2 linked regions of the Alligator mississippiensis genome follow. The protein of the gene in region 1 interacts with the protein of each later gene in a biochemical or structural test. Links are inferred from orthologs where the notes say so. Each region holds a gene or a part of one and is shown on either strand. Other genes may lie near its edges.

Region 1 (7,043 bases):
ATTTTATTATAACTTATGAAAAACAAAATAATTAAACCTCCTGTTAAACTGCAAACTTCTGACTCAGCCTTAACTATGGAATCATGGTCCTAGTATGATAAACATGGACATGTCAACAGCTACTCCTCACTTAACGTTGTAGTTATGTTCTTGAAAAATGTGACTTTAAGCGAGATAACGTTAAGCAAATCCAATTTCATCACAGTAGTTACTTACTAGCAGGCGGGGGCCCAACAACGTTATAACAGAACATTGCACGACTTTAAACGAGTATGTTCTCTAATAGATCAGCAACATAATAAAATTGTCCTAATTTTGCAATTACCAATAGAACTTTTCTAACTGCTAGACTAGCTCTGCACATTCAACCAGGAGAGAGTTAGGGTTAGATTTCTTGGGCTAAGGCACCATTATAAATGATACACTGCCTAACAGGCGAAAGTGTACTCTGTTTACATCCCTGTAATCCCACTGTCTCTTCACATCATGACTGATCTATGTACTATGAAGTACCATAGGTAGCTTCAGCTAGAATTTTTCCTGCAATTTAGTTACGAATTCTGTTGACACATGAAGCGGCATCACATCCACTGTCTCCCTATGGGCCATCGTACACACCACAAAATTGGTCTTTAAAGTGGCTTAAATTCCCTTGTGCACCACTTTAATGGCATTGCTGTTTGCACACTCGGCGGCATATTCCACTTTAAATGACTTTGCTACGTAGCAAGATAAAGCACCTCCAAGGTGTTTTAGTTTGCTACCTGACGAAGTGCAACAGTGCATGGGACACTGGAAGCTGACGTACTTGGGGACTGGTGGGCCCTGCAGAGCTCAGGGGCTGTGGGACCCAAAGGCAGCCCATGCAGGCAGGATCCATTGAAGGGGAAAAAAAAAAAGCAGTGAGCCTGATCTTTTTTTTTTTTTCCTCCCTGGAGCCTGCCTGCCTGCCTGAGCTTTGCGGGGACCTCGTTTTTCCCTCCGCAGTTGAAGGGGAGCGGGAAGGGTGGGGGAGCAATGCTTCTCTCCATGGCTGTGGTGCTCCCCTGGACTGCCTGAACTGGGTGCCAGCAGGCAGGTGCCACCTGGGGGACCCCCGCGCAGCTCAGGGACTGCTCAGCCTGCCGGCAGTTCACCCGCTGCCCCCACCATTGAAGAGATAGGTAAAGATTGAGCCCTCACCCTTGTGTACATGCCATGGGGGTTTAATTCAGTTTAATTCTCCTTAAATTGAAGCGGTGTTTAAAAAAACCCACTGTTTCAATTTAGGGAAAATTAAACCTCCCTGGTGTGTACAAGCAGCTTAAAGCACTAAAAATGCTAACTGGAGTTAGCTTACATTATTACACACTTTTGCATCCACCTAAGAGTAACTTGTATTCCTCCATTCTCCCCAAAATCTCCTTGTGTGCCTCTCTCTCAAACCCCTATTTAAAACATTCACTCCTCCTGACTCTTTCCCCCTGGCAGCTATGGGTCATTATACACTTCATTCCCCCCTCTCCCCAGTGCTAGGATCCCCAGTTGACTCCCATGCCAGAGATAGACTCTATTTTTTCCCTTGCTCCCAATGACCATATTCTCTTCTCCATGCCAAGGGCTCTATGCCTCAGTTCCCCTTATCTTCATTTTCCATCTATCCCATTCCTCACATAGCTGTATGTCAGGCAGTCCATGTCTCCTCCATTTCTGCCATTATTTTTTTCTCCTAACTTTCACCAGTGTCAATAGGACTCTGCTTACTGATGCCTAGAACAGTTCCTTGAATTTTGGAATTAGTTCAGTGTGGTATTCAAAACTTATTATCCAGAAAGGAAGGTCATCAACAGGAATAGAAAGCCGCACAAGCTCAGTACAAGGAAGACTGAGAACAGGCTTACTTATCTGTGACTCAGGAACATGCACAAGAACATGCAAGGAGCAGACCTACTGATTTCATTGGAAAGCTAAATATGTAAAAAGGACAAGAACTGAATGTTTAAGTCCTCTTTACTGAGGTCTAACAGGCCAGAATTGCCAGGGTGGTAAGGATACATGGTGCATAAGAAATGTAGGTTTGCTGCTAGGGAGGTAGATGTCGCCTTTTTTGGTTTCCAATACTTGTTGAGCAGCCATTTAAATATGGATTTTTGGCAACTAAAAAAGAAGTTACTCTCCCCCCAGCTCCTCTGGCCGCTGGCCCCTATTCTCAATTCCAGTCCCCCCACCGCCCCCATGTCCTTAAGCAGTGTTTAGGGTTCATGGCCCACTCACCCACCCAGTGTTATGCTTCTACTTCTTCTTTTCAATTCTGAAAGAGAAGCCAAAAATCATTTCCTTTGAAAAAATCAAGCCCGGTGCTGCGTATGACACTCAGAGGCTTGCTTGCTTTTGATTCACCGCCTCCATTTTTCAAGTTTCTAAGTTTTTTGCTGCCCTCCTGTAAAATACATAGGTAAGACAGAGCAACAGAACAGTTAAAGCCAATGGCTAGATATTGTCATTTTCTATGCCCAGCTAACCACTGACTTGATCTGTGATCTTGGACGGACCACTTTACCTCTGTTTCTAAGTTGTCTCAAACAGTGAGGCAGAGCTTTTAATTAAATCTTTATATGGTACTTTGAGGTCCAGAGAAAGAGTCTAGAGAATCCGTAACCAGAGATATACAGCATATTAATATTTTTCTACTTCAGTATTATATTCACCCTTGTGATATATTCACTCTTGCAACTACCTTAAAATTCACATAATAGTTAAATATGTAAGCACAATACTTACAAGACACATAGACATATGGCTCCTGCCACGCTCTCACTTTCTCGTACCAAAAAACAACCATTCTTTCCTTTCTTGGTCAGTAACTCTTCACAGGACTCTTTTGTTATCTTCCCATGATAAAATGGGTACTTTGCATGGTACTCCATGGAAGAGTATCAACAGGGTCCCTTGTCTTTAAAGCAATCCTAGATGAAATCAGCAAGCTGGCATTAAAAGAAGATTTAATCCAAATTCAGTTGTCAAGATGATAACTGCAATTACAATTTCAAGTCTTCACTACATAAATGAATTTATCTGTGTGGGTATTACTAACCAGACTCTACTAGCAGGCTGCTTTCAACAGATCAGATATGTATAATCTACACAGGAAGTGATAAAAATGGTCAATGGTTTCACTTGTAGTGGTCCTTAGTTTCCATCACCAAGGAGAACTGCAATTATACCATTAAAAAGAGTTGATATTTCAGTTACTTTTAGTTTTAGGCCATATGACAGCTAAAATTTAAGTAAAAGCAACAAGCGCATCAGTGCCTATATACCCAACAGTTTTTATTTAAAGCTTGTATTTCTCATTATTTATAACCTTGCCCAAATTTAACTATCTGGACTGAAATATTCCATATGAGCTATGTGCCTCAAGATGCCTTCCCACTCCTCCACATGGGAAAAATGCAGCTGTTTCTGGAAAATAAGATTACACCCCTGTAACTAAGTTGAAACTAAGGCATTTTAATCATGTTAAAAAAATTACAAAACGTTTTCTTAAGAAGCTCTATTGCCCCTGTACTTTGGAGTATGGTACCAGATTGACATTTGATGGGGGTGAAAGGTTATCCTGGTGTCAATGCTGTACTTTATGCTGTCATGAAAATCCACTCAAGTTAGAACCATTTAAAATGTTGCAGTTTGCACATATGTCTTGCCTTTAATGAGAATTGTCCAGGTCAGGTCTGCTGGGGCAGACCAAAGCTTCTGGAATTGCTTTTGCTTGTCAATGGGGCCTCAAGCAGCAGAGCTTTATGAAACTGTGTCTCCTGGGATCACAATAATTTCCTCAGGCATCATGGGGAGGAAGTAATTTACCCTGAATGCAGAGAGGAACCAATTTGAGAGATTCCTCCTGGGAAGGATAGGTTGAGGCAAGAAGCTAAGCTAAGGTGTCTGTTGAGGTGGGGAAGGGTTGTGAGACTGAGTCAGATAGATAGTAGGGCTGTGCAAAATTTCTCCGGCTGTTTGGTTTTGACGCTGGTTCGACTTGTTTCGAGCTCGAAACAGAGAAATTGAAATGAAAGGCTTCAAAACAGCCTCGAAAGGAAATGAGGGCAGTCAAAATGTTTCAAAAGTTTTGAAACATTGTGAATTTCAAAGCTGGGCTTGCTTGCAGCTAAAGAGAAATTAAGGAGAGGGAGTGGGAAGAGGGGGCAAGGACTGCTCTCATATTGACTGTGTAGCTGGCCAGTGACTGTCATCCTTCCCTGAGGTCCCTTCCCATCCCAGTGCTCTGGGGAAGGGATGGAAAAAGAGCATAAAAAGCATTCTTTGAACTGAGCTGCCTCTGTGCCTTCACACTTACAAGTGACACAAGTTTTGCTCTGAACAGTTTGAGGTGCAGTTTCCCAGAAACCCCTGCACTTATCTCCTTGAAACTTGGCAGGATTCATGGCCTCAGCAGCAGATAGCATGCTTGCAGTTTTCACCCAGTTGCACCTTAACAGACAGACAGACAGACAGACAGACAGACAGACAGACAGACAGACAGACACACACAGTGTCACCTATGTCATGTGTTTTGCTTGTCCACAGCCTGAGGTGCAGTTTCCCAGAAAGCCCTATACCTATCTCCTTGAAAGCTGGCAGGCTTTATGGCCTCAGCAGGGGCTACCATCCCTGCAGTTTTCACCCCCCTGTACCTTAAGACACACACGTGACATGAGTTTTGCTTTCAAGACTTTGAGGTGCAGTTTCCCAGAAACCCCTGCACCTATTTCCTTGAAACTTGACAGGCTTTGTGGCCTCAGCAGGGGCTACCATCCCACAATTTGCATCTGAATCAGGCAAGAAATGACAAAGTTATAGGCAGTTTCATGCTTCCCAATTATAGCCTATGGGCAAAATGTTGAAAACGTTGAAACAGTTTCGAAGAAATGAAGCAGAACAGTGCTTTCAAAATGAAATGAAACTCAAAATGAAACACTGTCCCATCAAAATGGTGAAATGGAAATTGAAATGAAGTGGTGCTGTTTTGCACAGCCCTATAGGTAGTCATCCATTAGGAAGAAAGGGCAAAGATGCTGGACTACAGAGGCAGCAGGGGAAGGAGGGGGAACAGAACCTGTATACTCTGTTTTGGGGCCTGGAGTGGAACCCAGGATTCCAGGGTCTCACCTTTCATCTGCTGTCAAAAAAAGTATCTGCCATGTCTACTGCTGATGTCTTTGTCTGATCCCCACCTAATGCTACTCCGCTTGAAAAAGATGACTGCTCACTATTGCTTTCAGTTTCTCCATTAACACCAGTGGAAGAGGTCTGGGCTACACTTTAGAGATGCTAACTTGGCATCAAAGGGATGCCAAATGATCGAATTTGGTTTTTTCCCCACTTATAAAATACCTAGTAAATTGCATTAAATTACACACACACACACACACACACACACACACACACGTACACATACACACTCTGTACTAAAATACTGCTATTAATTGACTCCCTTTGTGCATATGTATGTTGATATAGACCTTAATTACACACTTACATACAATTTTTCCTACAACATCTAGTCATGCACAAACACCCCAGAAAAACACAGGAAGGAATTAATAATTTAATATTCAGAAGAGGACAGCATAGTGAAGTGAAAGAAATATTGAGCGGCTGCTCATTCAAAGAGAACACCTCCTTGAACACTGAATGATAGAGGTCCTGTGGAAATAAAAATGATCACATAATTAAAGGCTGTGCAAAGGGGGTGATTTAAAGTTGCACAAACAACTTTTATTTAGGCATTTCCTATCCTGATGATTTGACTTAATTTTGGTTCTGTTGTGTAGAAAGAGAAAGTTTATTAATGTTGCTCTTTAGAAATAAAACATATGCCGTGCTACCAAGTTGTCCACATGGCATCTTAATAAAGTAGAAGACCAAGATTAGATCAAGATAGAAAGTGGGCATGCATGTCTGTTTGACTTTTAAGACCATTAGGAAACAAGCATAAAAGCAGCCCTGAGAAGTAACCTTTATAAAGTACTCAAGGGGAAACTGAGACTTGGTTTTTAGCACCTACAAAGCCAAACCCCCAAAAATGGAGAAGGAAAAAAGTGGGGGGAGGGGGCAGGAAAATCAAGCTACATCCTGACCCATGTTCTGCAGACCACGAGGTAGTATTCTTTTTGTTTATGAATAAATTATGCATAACATTTCCCTACACACGGAAAGAGCCCATTTTTTCCTGATCAAAAAATCAACTGAAGTTTCCATAAGTGAATAAATGCAATATGAGTTCAGCTGATATGCCAGCTCTGAAATGAAATAGATGCCTCACACTGCTGCCTCCTTTGAGCAGATTGTTTCCTCTGCGTTTAAACAACCCACATGTAGGAAAGAGAACAATGCAGCTCTCCTTTCACTTACACAGTTGCACAGTTGACAGGTTGTGAGGGCTAGTGTTACATCAGGTTCTGGTTTATGATAACAAGTTACTCCCTCTGATGTATTCATTTTAATGGACATGAGGAAAGGAACAATAAAGCAACAGCTTCTTAGCAAAACAAGAGCTCTGTGTTGGCCATCATGGATGCAGCCTTGCTGGAATAACAACAAACTGGGCTTCCCAACAGGAGTGATGTGCAGAGTCTCCCACCAGACTAAGTCTTCTTACTCATTCCTAATTCCTAATCATATTCCTAGTTTCTCATTCGCAATCTCAAATTCATTATTCATCCCCTGGCTGAAGTTTGACTGTTCAAGAGATTACTCTTCTAAAATAGAGAATGTACCCTATTTTGCTTCACTGAACTGCATAAAAGCTCTTTAGGCAGAATAAATCACTGCAGGTATGTTGCTTTCAGTGACACTATAATGGGTTTTATACCAGGCAAGAAAACTAAGACACGGCTGTCCTAAACTAAAAGCAATTTATCGAACCCTAACAGATACAACTCTAATTAGCATCAAAGCATTGAAGCAGTATTTGCAGTTAAAATTTAGAAGTGTAGCTAGTCAAAGCAAATGGTCACCACCCTGTAATATCATGAATGCAACTTCACTGGTTGATCAAGCCATGA
Region 2 (7,320 bases), on another chromosome or scaffold:
GGTACCTCCTGTGTGACAGCGGAGAAAAACCTTTCTAACACCTGCTCTTAGAGGTAGATTCATGCTCTGAGGTAGGAGGACCCTCATAGACCTTCAAAAATAGCTTTACTATATAAATACCCAGTGCAGTGCAATGCCCTATATGCACTTCATCTGTATAAAGCCCAATTCCTATTCCTGATCCTGTTTTGCTTTGGGTCTCGCAGCCCGGAGCTCAGTGGGTTACTCAGACATGTCCAGCACACTTCCTCCCAACGGTCCAGAGTAGGGTTTAATGGCACATCTCATCACGGTGTTGTGAAAGGATGACCATACCTAACCAGCTAGCTCTGCACTGTTCACTCTTTCCTACACCTCTGCTGACTTCTCTTACTCATTACCTGTTTACACTAATACGCCTCTTGGGAACACAGTCCTCGTGATGTACGAATCGCCCTTGTTCCATTCAACTTCTCACCCGGCCTCTCAATGGAAGTCTTTCTAAGTATTTTTTAACTTCCTTTATTTTTTTTCCCCCTAAGCGCTTCCTGCACTAATGACTAGATCTTAACGTAGAAGGCCAGGGGGAACTGATTTGTATATTGGTATTAGAATGAGTTTAGTATGGCTGGTAAAAATGTTTCAGACAAAGTATTTTTGCTTTGAGAAACAGGGGTGGTGTTATAGAATCACAGAATCCTAGCAAATGAGGGTGGGAAGGGACCTCGGGAGGTCACATCTAATCCAACCCCCTGCTCCAAGCAGGACCAGCCCCAACTACGTCATCCCAGCCAAGGCTTTATCTATCCAGGTCTTAAAAACCTCCAAGGATGGAGATTGCACCACCTCTCTGGGTGACCTGTTCCAGTGCTTCATTATCCTCTTAGTGAGAAAAGTTTTTACTAACATCTAACCTCAACTTCCCTTGCTGCAGCTTGAGCCCATTGCTCCTTGTTCTGCCATCTGCCACCACAGAGAACAGTCCAGCTCCATCCTCTTTGGACCCACCCTGCAGGGAGCTGACGGTTGCTATTAAATCCCCTCGGTCTTCTCTTCTCCAGACTAATCAGCCCAGTTCCCTCAGCCTCTCCTCACAAGTCCTGTCCCCCAGCCCCTGAACGATTTTTGTCTCCCTCCACTTGGCTTTCTCCAATGTGTCCCCGTCCTTTGGGGGGGGGGGGGGAAACTGGTCAATGTGACCTCCCCACTGTCAGATATAAATTGTATTTTGCCACTAAAACACCAGCACATTTTTAGTTTTAATTGTTGAAAAAAATATTTTTAAACAGGCAACATGGCAGATTTCGAAAAAATACTTTCATATTTTACCTGGATGGATATTTCAGTGCTGTTTTCTTTTGACATGGTGGGGAAATTTCCACGTGTCATTTTTTCCTGTTTTTTTTTCCACTGGAATAAGTGCGGAAAAGGTAACAAAACCTAAAGCAGAGAGAGAAAAACACTTTTTTGCTTTGTAAAACCTTTTCTTCCCATTGGAAAGCATGTCTTTTTAAGGTGTTAAAAACCAAGCAAATGACCATTTCCTTCCCCGTGATACTTTTCTTGCACATTTAAGTAAAAAAAAAAACCCTAAAAGCTGGTTAGCATTTTTCTCCATTTTCACATTTTAAATTTGATTTTTTTTTTTTTATTTTTGTTACTAAAAAAGGTACAAGATTTAAAAAGAAAGGGGGGGATAGGAAGAAACCCCTGCAAAAATAGATTTTCAATGAATCGTTTGAATCCAAAACAGATGTTTTCAGACAAGACAAAACAATTTTCTTCCATTTGATATTTTCCATGAAAAAAAATAGAAAGAAACGTTAGCCAACTGTCATTTTTATTTCCAATAACACACTATTGTTTGCACAGTCAGCTTTGATTGCGGTTTTCCACGGAGCACGAGTGTGCCTGGAACAGCCCGCAGCGACGCCTCGGCCCTTTTCCTGCGGGGTGGTAGCTAATTCGGTACATTCGACAGAAAGCTTTTGGGGACCAAAGAGGTCCGGTGTTTGTGCAGCCCCAAGCACCTTGGGGGTCCTGCGACACATCACTAAGATTGCCTTGCACTCTCCCACTGATAGTGATTGTCACCACAAGCAAAAACAGGTCAAAATGTTCCTCCTACCATGGATTTTATATTTATCAACTGTTCAATTTTGTTTCCTATGATAGTGATAGTGCCTGTCCCCCTCCACCCCTCCTCTCTTAACCCCACAGGGCTTGCTCTTGCTCCAGGTTAGAGAGTGCAGAGAGGAGAATCGATATGATGCGAGCTGGGGAAGTGTGGAGCCTGGCTTCAACAGCCCGCCGTACCAGCCCATGATTGCTTAGCAAACAGCTCCGTGGTGCTCAGGAGACGGTTGCCTGACCTCACGGTAAGCACCTGGGGCACATCTACACATACATTGATGCGCTTTAGTTAATGCACATGAAATCTAGTACCTCCATTATGAGGTACCAGGAAAATGCACATTAGCTTGGCTTAATGCACATTAACTAAAGCAAATGCTTTTTAAGTGATGCTTAATGCACATGAGTCTATGTTAATACAAATTAAGTAAAAAGCACCGCTTTTTACATGATGCTTTAATGTGCTTTAAAGGAGCACCAAAGTGCATGTGTAGATGTGCCCCTGGGCTCTATCCAAAACCCTGCACTTGCTGCAGAGAGGTGCCTTCATGCCCAGCCCTCCTCAAGGTTGGCACAGCTCAGCTGGGCTACAAGGAGAGCCTGGCCTTCCTCTGTTTGCATGGAAGCAAACCCCATGTCCACGGAGACTGCCCCCAGCTCGAGGGTAGGGGGGTACCCCATGCTCCTGCAATTGCAGCAGTGCCACGGGCCAGAAAAAGATCTCAAGCTTCTGTAGGTCAAAAAAGAAGGAACCAGAAGAAACGTGGCAGCAGGCAGGGACCTCCCTGGTGGGGGAAGTCCTTGCTTCCTTCTAGGCTTCTAGGAGTGCGTCGGCATTTTTGCCAATGCCCTGAGAAGGTCAAGTGTCCAAACCATCCGCAAAGCAGGAGCTGGAGCCCAGGTGAGTCCCTGCCGTGGAGATGAGGGGTGGCTGGGGCTGAAAGTCTTGGCTGCAGCAGGTGAGGGATGGAGAATGTCCCACCCAGCCTCCTGGGCAGGGCTGGGACAGGGGCTAGCTTGGGTGACCCCCTATGACCTTGCAACTCTGTGCCCCTGTGAAATAGGAGATGTGAGCAGGTCTGGGACCTGCCCTGCTCTGCACACATGATAGGAAAGGGATGGGGAGAACAGCAGGGCTCCTCTTTTAGATGCACCTTACAAGCCATGGAGAGAAGGCTGCTCCTGCTAGGGTGGTGCCAGGTGAACTGAGCACCCCCCAGGGCATGTGGGCGGAGGAAGGCCTCATTTTTGGACCCAAGCAGAAATGAGGTGCAAGCCAGGTGCCTGTAAAGGCAAGGATGTATCTGTGCACTGGTGAAAGCAGAACGAGGCTCAGAACAGAGTGCTTTTCTGAAGGTTTGGGACCTCCGGGGTCAGGCAGCATCTAGTCCAGGACTTGGGCAGCTAAGTTCTGCCTCCATCCCTCACCAGGCACCCTACAACCCTGAATCAATGGGGATCTTCGCCTCTCTACCTGTAAAATGGAGATCGCACCCTTGCCTTCCCTCACCCAGCCCTCCAGACTGTGCAATACTCCCATACTAGGGTACATGAGACTAAGGTACATAAAACTGATGAGGATATTGCATGTTAATAAAACCTGCTGCTTTTTGAAGGGTTGGGCCCATCTATGCTCAGACACAGCTGATGGAGCAACGCTGGCTGTACAGCAAGGGGAAACAAGGATGCTGCTCCCAGCTAGAATGGAGCCAGAAAACACCTTTGGGTACCAATCCAGACTTGTGAAGCACTTAGCTCTGGGTTCTGCAAAAAAGAAGAGAGGATGCTGTGCCTAAGCCAAGCCTAGCAGCAGTGGGTGCTTTCTTTAAAGCTTTTGAAATTGAGAGACCGCATCTCTGGAGTTATTTAAAAAGAAGTGGGGCTAACTCTTCCACTCACCTGCAACAGCTTGAGAAAGTGATGTGGGCAACCTTTGCAAACCCACATTATTTCAAATACATAAATAGTTCATGGTTTAGCAGGTGACCTTATAAAACTTTTTTGTGGGTTAGGAAATGGTTTGTAACTCTGTAGACCACTCTGTTGTCAAATGGTGTTCACGTGCTTTCTACTTTCCCTCTGTCACGCATTTGTGAGGGTGAGCATTAGACTGGATTACTGTTACTGTGCGAGTGACGGAAATGCTGCTTATTATCAGAGAGACCACGGTGCTCTATGGTAGGACCATGTCAGTTAACGAGCATCATCTTTTTTTTTCAGGCACACCGTTCCCGTACATGGAGGAAGTTGGGGTTGGGCCTTGACTTTATAAAACTGAGTGGATGGGGTTTTTATTCGCACAGCTCTTGGTAGGATTGCCGAGGTTTGCTGTGAGCCCCTTCCCTAAGCACCTTGCACTGAAGCATTAAGAGGCATGATTTTGGTTTTTTGAATATTTCCATACAACAAAAAGAAAAAAAATCACCAAACCAGAAAACAGGAAACACGCAGCCCGCCAAGAGACGTCAGTCTCATTTGACTACACCTGTTCTCACCAGTATGCCTAGCTGCAGACAGCAGAGCTGGGACTAAAGTCCACACAAGTCAAGTTTCATGCATCGAGCGATGGACTGCAGTGTATGCCTCTGGCTGATCATCTCTTTCTGCTGGGCTTGGGGTACGTTGATTTTTCTCTCCTTCCACTACTCTTGTGTCAAGCAGCTGGAGTGTTGCCGAGTGACTTTTAGCTCTGCGTTTGATGTTTGCTTTCATAAACCATGATGCTGGGCAAGGCAGCTAGATGACATGGTGCCAGAGAAGAGAGGTGACTTTGTCTATTCTGTGTGCCTTTCACAGGACTCTCTAGACCCAAGGGACGGGTGGACAGGTGGATAGGAAGACAGCTCTGTTTGCAATAATGAAATGTTTTGCAACACACGTGATTTGTTGCAAATAATTCAGCATCAGCTACTTCAATAATCCTCAGCAATGAGACAATAATGAGGCACACCCTCAATAATAAGACAGTGCCGGTCCTGTTGACTTCAATAGGACTGCACGTACTATTGCCAGACTCAATTACTTAGTGCAGCAGTACTTGCGGTTTCTTAAATGGGAGGAGAGGAGGGGCTGGTTTATAAATGAGTTTCTAGGCACTACCCAATTAATTAAGAATAATGATAACAATAGTATTGACCACTAGAACTAGGACAGGAAAGCAACACCAGTAGCCACAGCCGCTGGTAAGAGAAATGGGGTCAAACCGGGACAGGCTGGGCCTGTAAAACTTGAAAAGTAAGATCTGTCAGCCTGTTGATTGGTTTCGTGGGGTGGCTCAGATACCATACAGCTGGGCTGCTTGGAGCACTAGGAAGTGGACTGAAAGAAACCCTGCTTTGACAAGCGGGTGAGCTAGCTGATGGCAAGCCTGTCTCATTCCTGTGTAGAAGAGAGTGCATAATGTGCAGGGCTGTGGATGAATAGGGATGTGGCTGAGAGGAGAGAGGATGTGGAAGCCTGGGATCTGTTGGTTGCTCAGGGAAGGTATATAGTGGGGGCGTCCTCTCCTGACATTTCTGAGGTTGAAGGAAGAAGCCACAATGGTCCAAAATGAGAATGGGAACATCTTTGATATGACAGAGGGCTTAATACACATGAGGAAGGCAGAAAAGGGGTCTCTCAAACAAAGTAAAAGAAACTGTGCTCTGCCAGCTCCCAAAGCAATGCCCCAAATACCAATTGGTCCATGGGCCACGGGCGCCAGGCAAAGAGAGATTGCTTGGAAGGACCAACAGAGAAGGCTGGGGAGCAGCCACCCGGGAATTTCTTGTTGGTTTTGCTGGCTCTGCAATGTCTGACAGCCTGCCTTTTAAAATCCCCATGGGTTTTTTCTTTTCTCCAGTGGCATAATGAAAAGTCCCATTTGTGCAATCACTGGCCCAAAGCAATTGCTATTGCTTTCAAGTCAGAACCATGCCCTGGATCCACTGTCAGCTTTTCCACGGGGGAATCCCATGGTTTCCCTGCCCCTGGCTGGGGGTTCAGCCCCTTTCCACCCTTCGTGCCTGCCATCTAACTTCAGTGGGTCTGCTTCCCTCTGCTCCGAGATGTCCTCTCATTCCAGGAGCTCTTTCCTGTTAGGGCCGAGGGATTTTCAAGATGATTTAATGGGGATTTTCCCTCTGGAATCCTTATCATCCTAACCAGAACTTGTCAGCAGCAATGCCTCAACCGAATACCCCGAAGGAGAAGAACAGGCTGCCCCTTATGGCAATAATGTACATTCAGTGGGTTTCAACATAGGCCTGAAATAGACCCTCTGAGCCATAAACACCAGCCCCCTCCAGTCAGAGGTAGCCACGTAAGTGGGGTTTCATCCAGAAAGCTCCACAAGAACCTTCCCTCCAGCCCCACCTGCCAATACAGTAAAAATTTAACTCAGATGAGCAGGTTGTTATTTGCATAATGGCTTCTTGGGGCCCAGAATAGACCAGGAACCTTCTTGTAGACTCAGAACAGGCTTATAACAGTCTCTCTGGTACCCGGTGGGAGATGTCAGCAGACTGAGCTGCTGCACGCAGGGCGGGTGGGTCTGCGATGAAGTGCTGTATTTACGGGAACGTTCCCAGTGAGGCTGCGCGGGGAGCTGGTGCTCTCTGGGGTTCAAATCCTTTGTGGTTGTTTTTTTTCCTCTTTGTTGGGGCAACCCCCGCTTGTGATGGAACGATTTCACAGGAAGCAGCGTGGCAACCCGGGCCGTTTAATCTTCCACGGGTAACGGCGACAGCCGATGAGCTGTCAGGGTTCATCATTTGTTTTTCCAGCAAAACAGTTCTTTTGTAAATTGGTACCCAGAGGCGAATATGAATCACTGCGTCCCAGTCAGGAGGGATAGGAGAGTCATCTAGGGAGACCATCAGTCATAGATTCATTCATAGATTCATAGATTCATAGATGTTAGGGTCGGAAGGGACCTCAATAGATCATCAAGTCCGACCCCCTGCATAGGCAGGAAAGAGTGCTGGGTCTAGATGACCCCAGCTAGATACTCATCTAACCTCCTCTTGAAGACCCCCAGGGTAGGGGAGAGCACCACCTCCCTTGGGAGCCCGTTCCAGACCTTGGCCACTCGAACTGTGAAGAAGTTCTTCCTAATGTCCAGTCTAAATCTGCTCTCTGCTAGCTTGTGGCCATTGTTTCTTGTAACCCCCGGGGGCGCCTTGGTGAATAAATACTCACCAATACCCTTCTGTGCCCCTGTGATGAACT

What was found. The genes of interacting proteins can lie anywhere in the genome.
Region 2: the proteins of SH2D1B (region 1) and signaling lymphocytic activation molecule interact in a test that uses a peptide from one of them, tested with the Homo sapiens proteins (2 studies listed by BioGRID). The link is inferred for Alligator mississippiensis from reciprocal best matches to the Homo sapiens genes SH2D1B and SLAMF1.

Annotation. Positions count from the first base shown.
Region 1 is NC_081824.1:258,330,325-258,337,367, reverse strand, and holds the start of SH2D1B (SH2 domain-containing protein 1B), read right to left. Parts: upstream 3,024-7,043; 5' UTR 2,907-3,023; coding exon 2,761-2,906; intron 1-2,760. UniProt on the Homo sapiens protein: Cytoplasmic adapter regulating receptors of the signaling lymphocytic activation molecule (SLAM) family such as CD84, SLAMF1, LY9 and CD244. In SLAM signaling seems to cooperate with SH2D1A/SAP.
Region 2 is NC_081838.1:15,888,367-15,895,686, reverse strand, and holds the start of signaling lymphocytic activation molecule, read left to right. Parts: upstream 1-4,314; 5' UTR 4,315-4,665; coding exon 4,666-4,729; intron 4,730-7,320.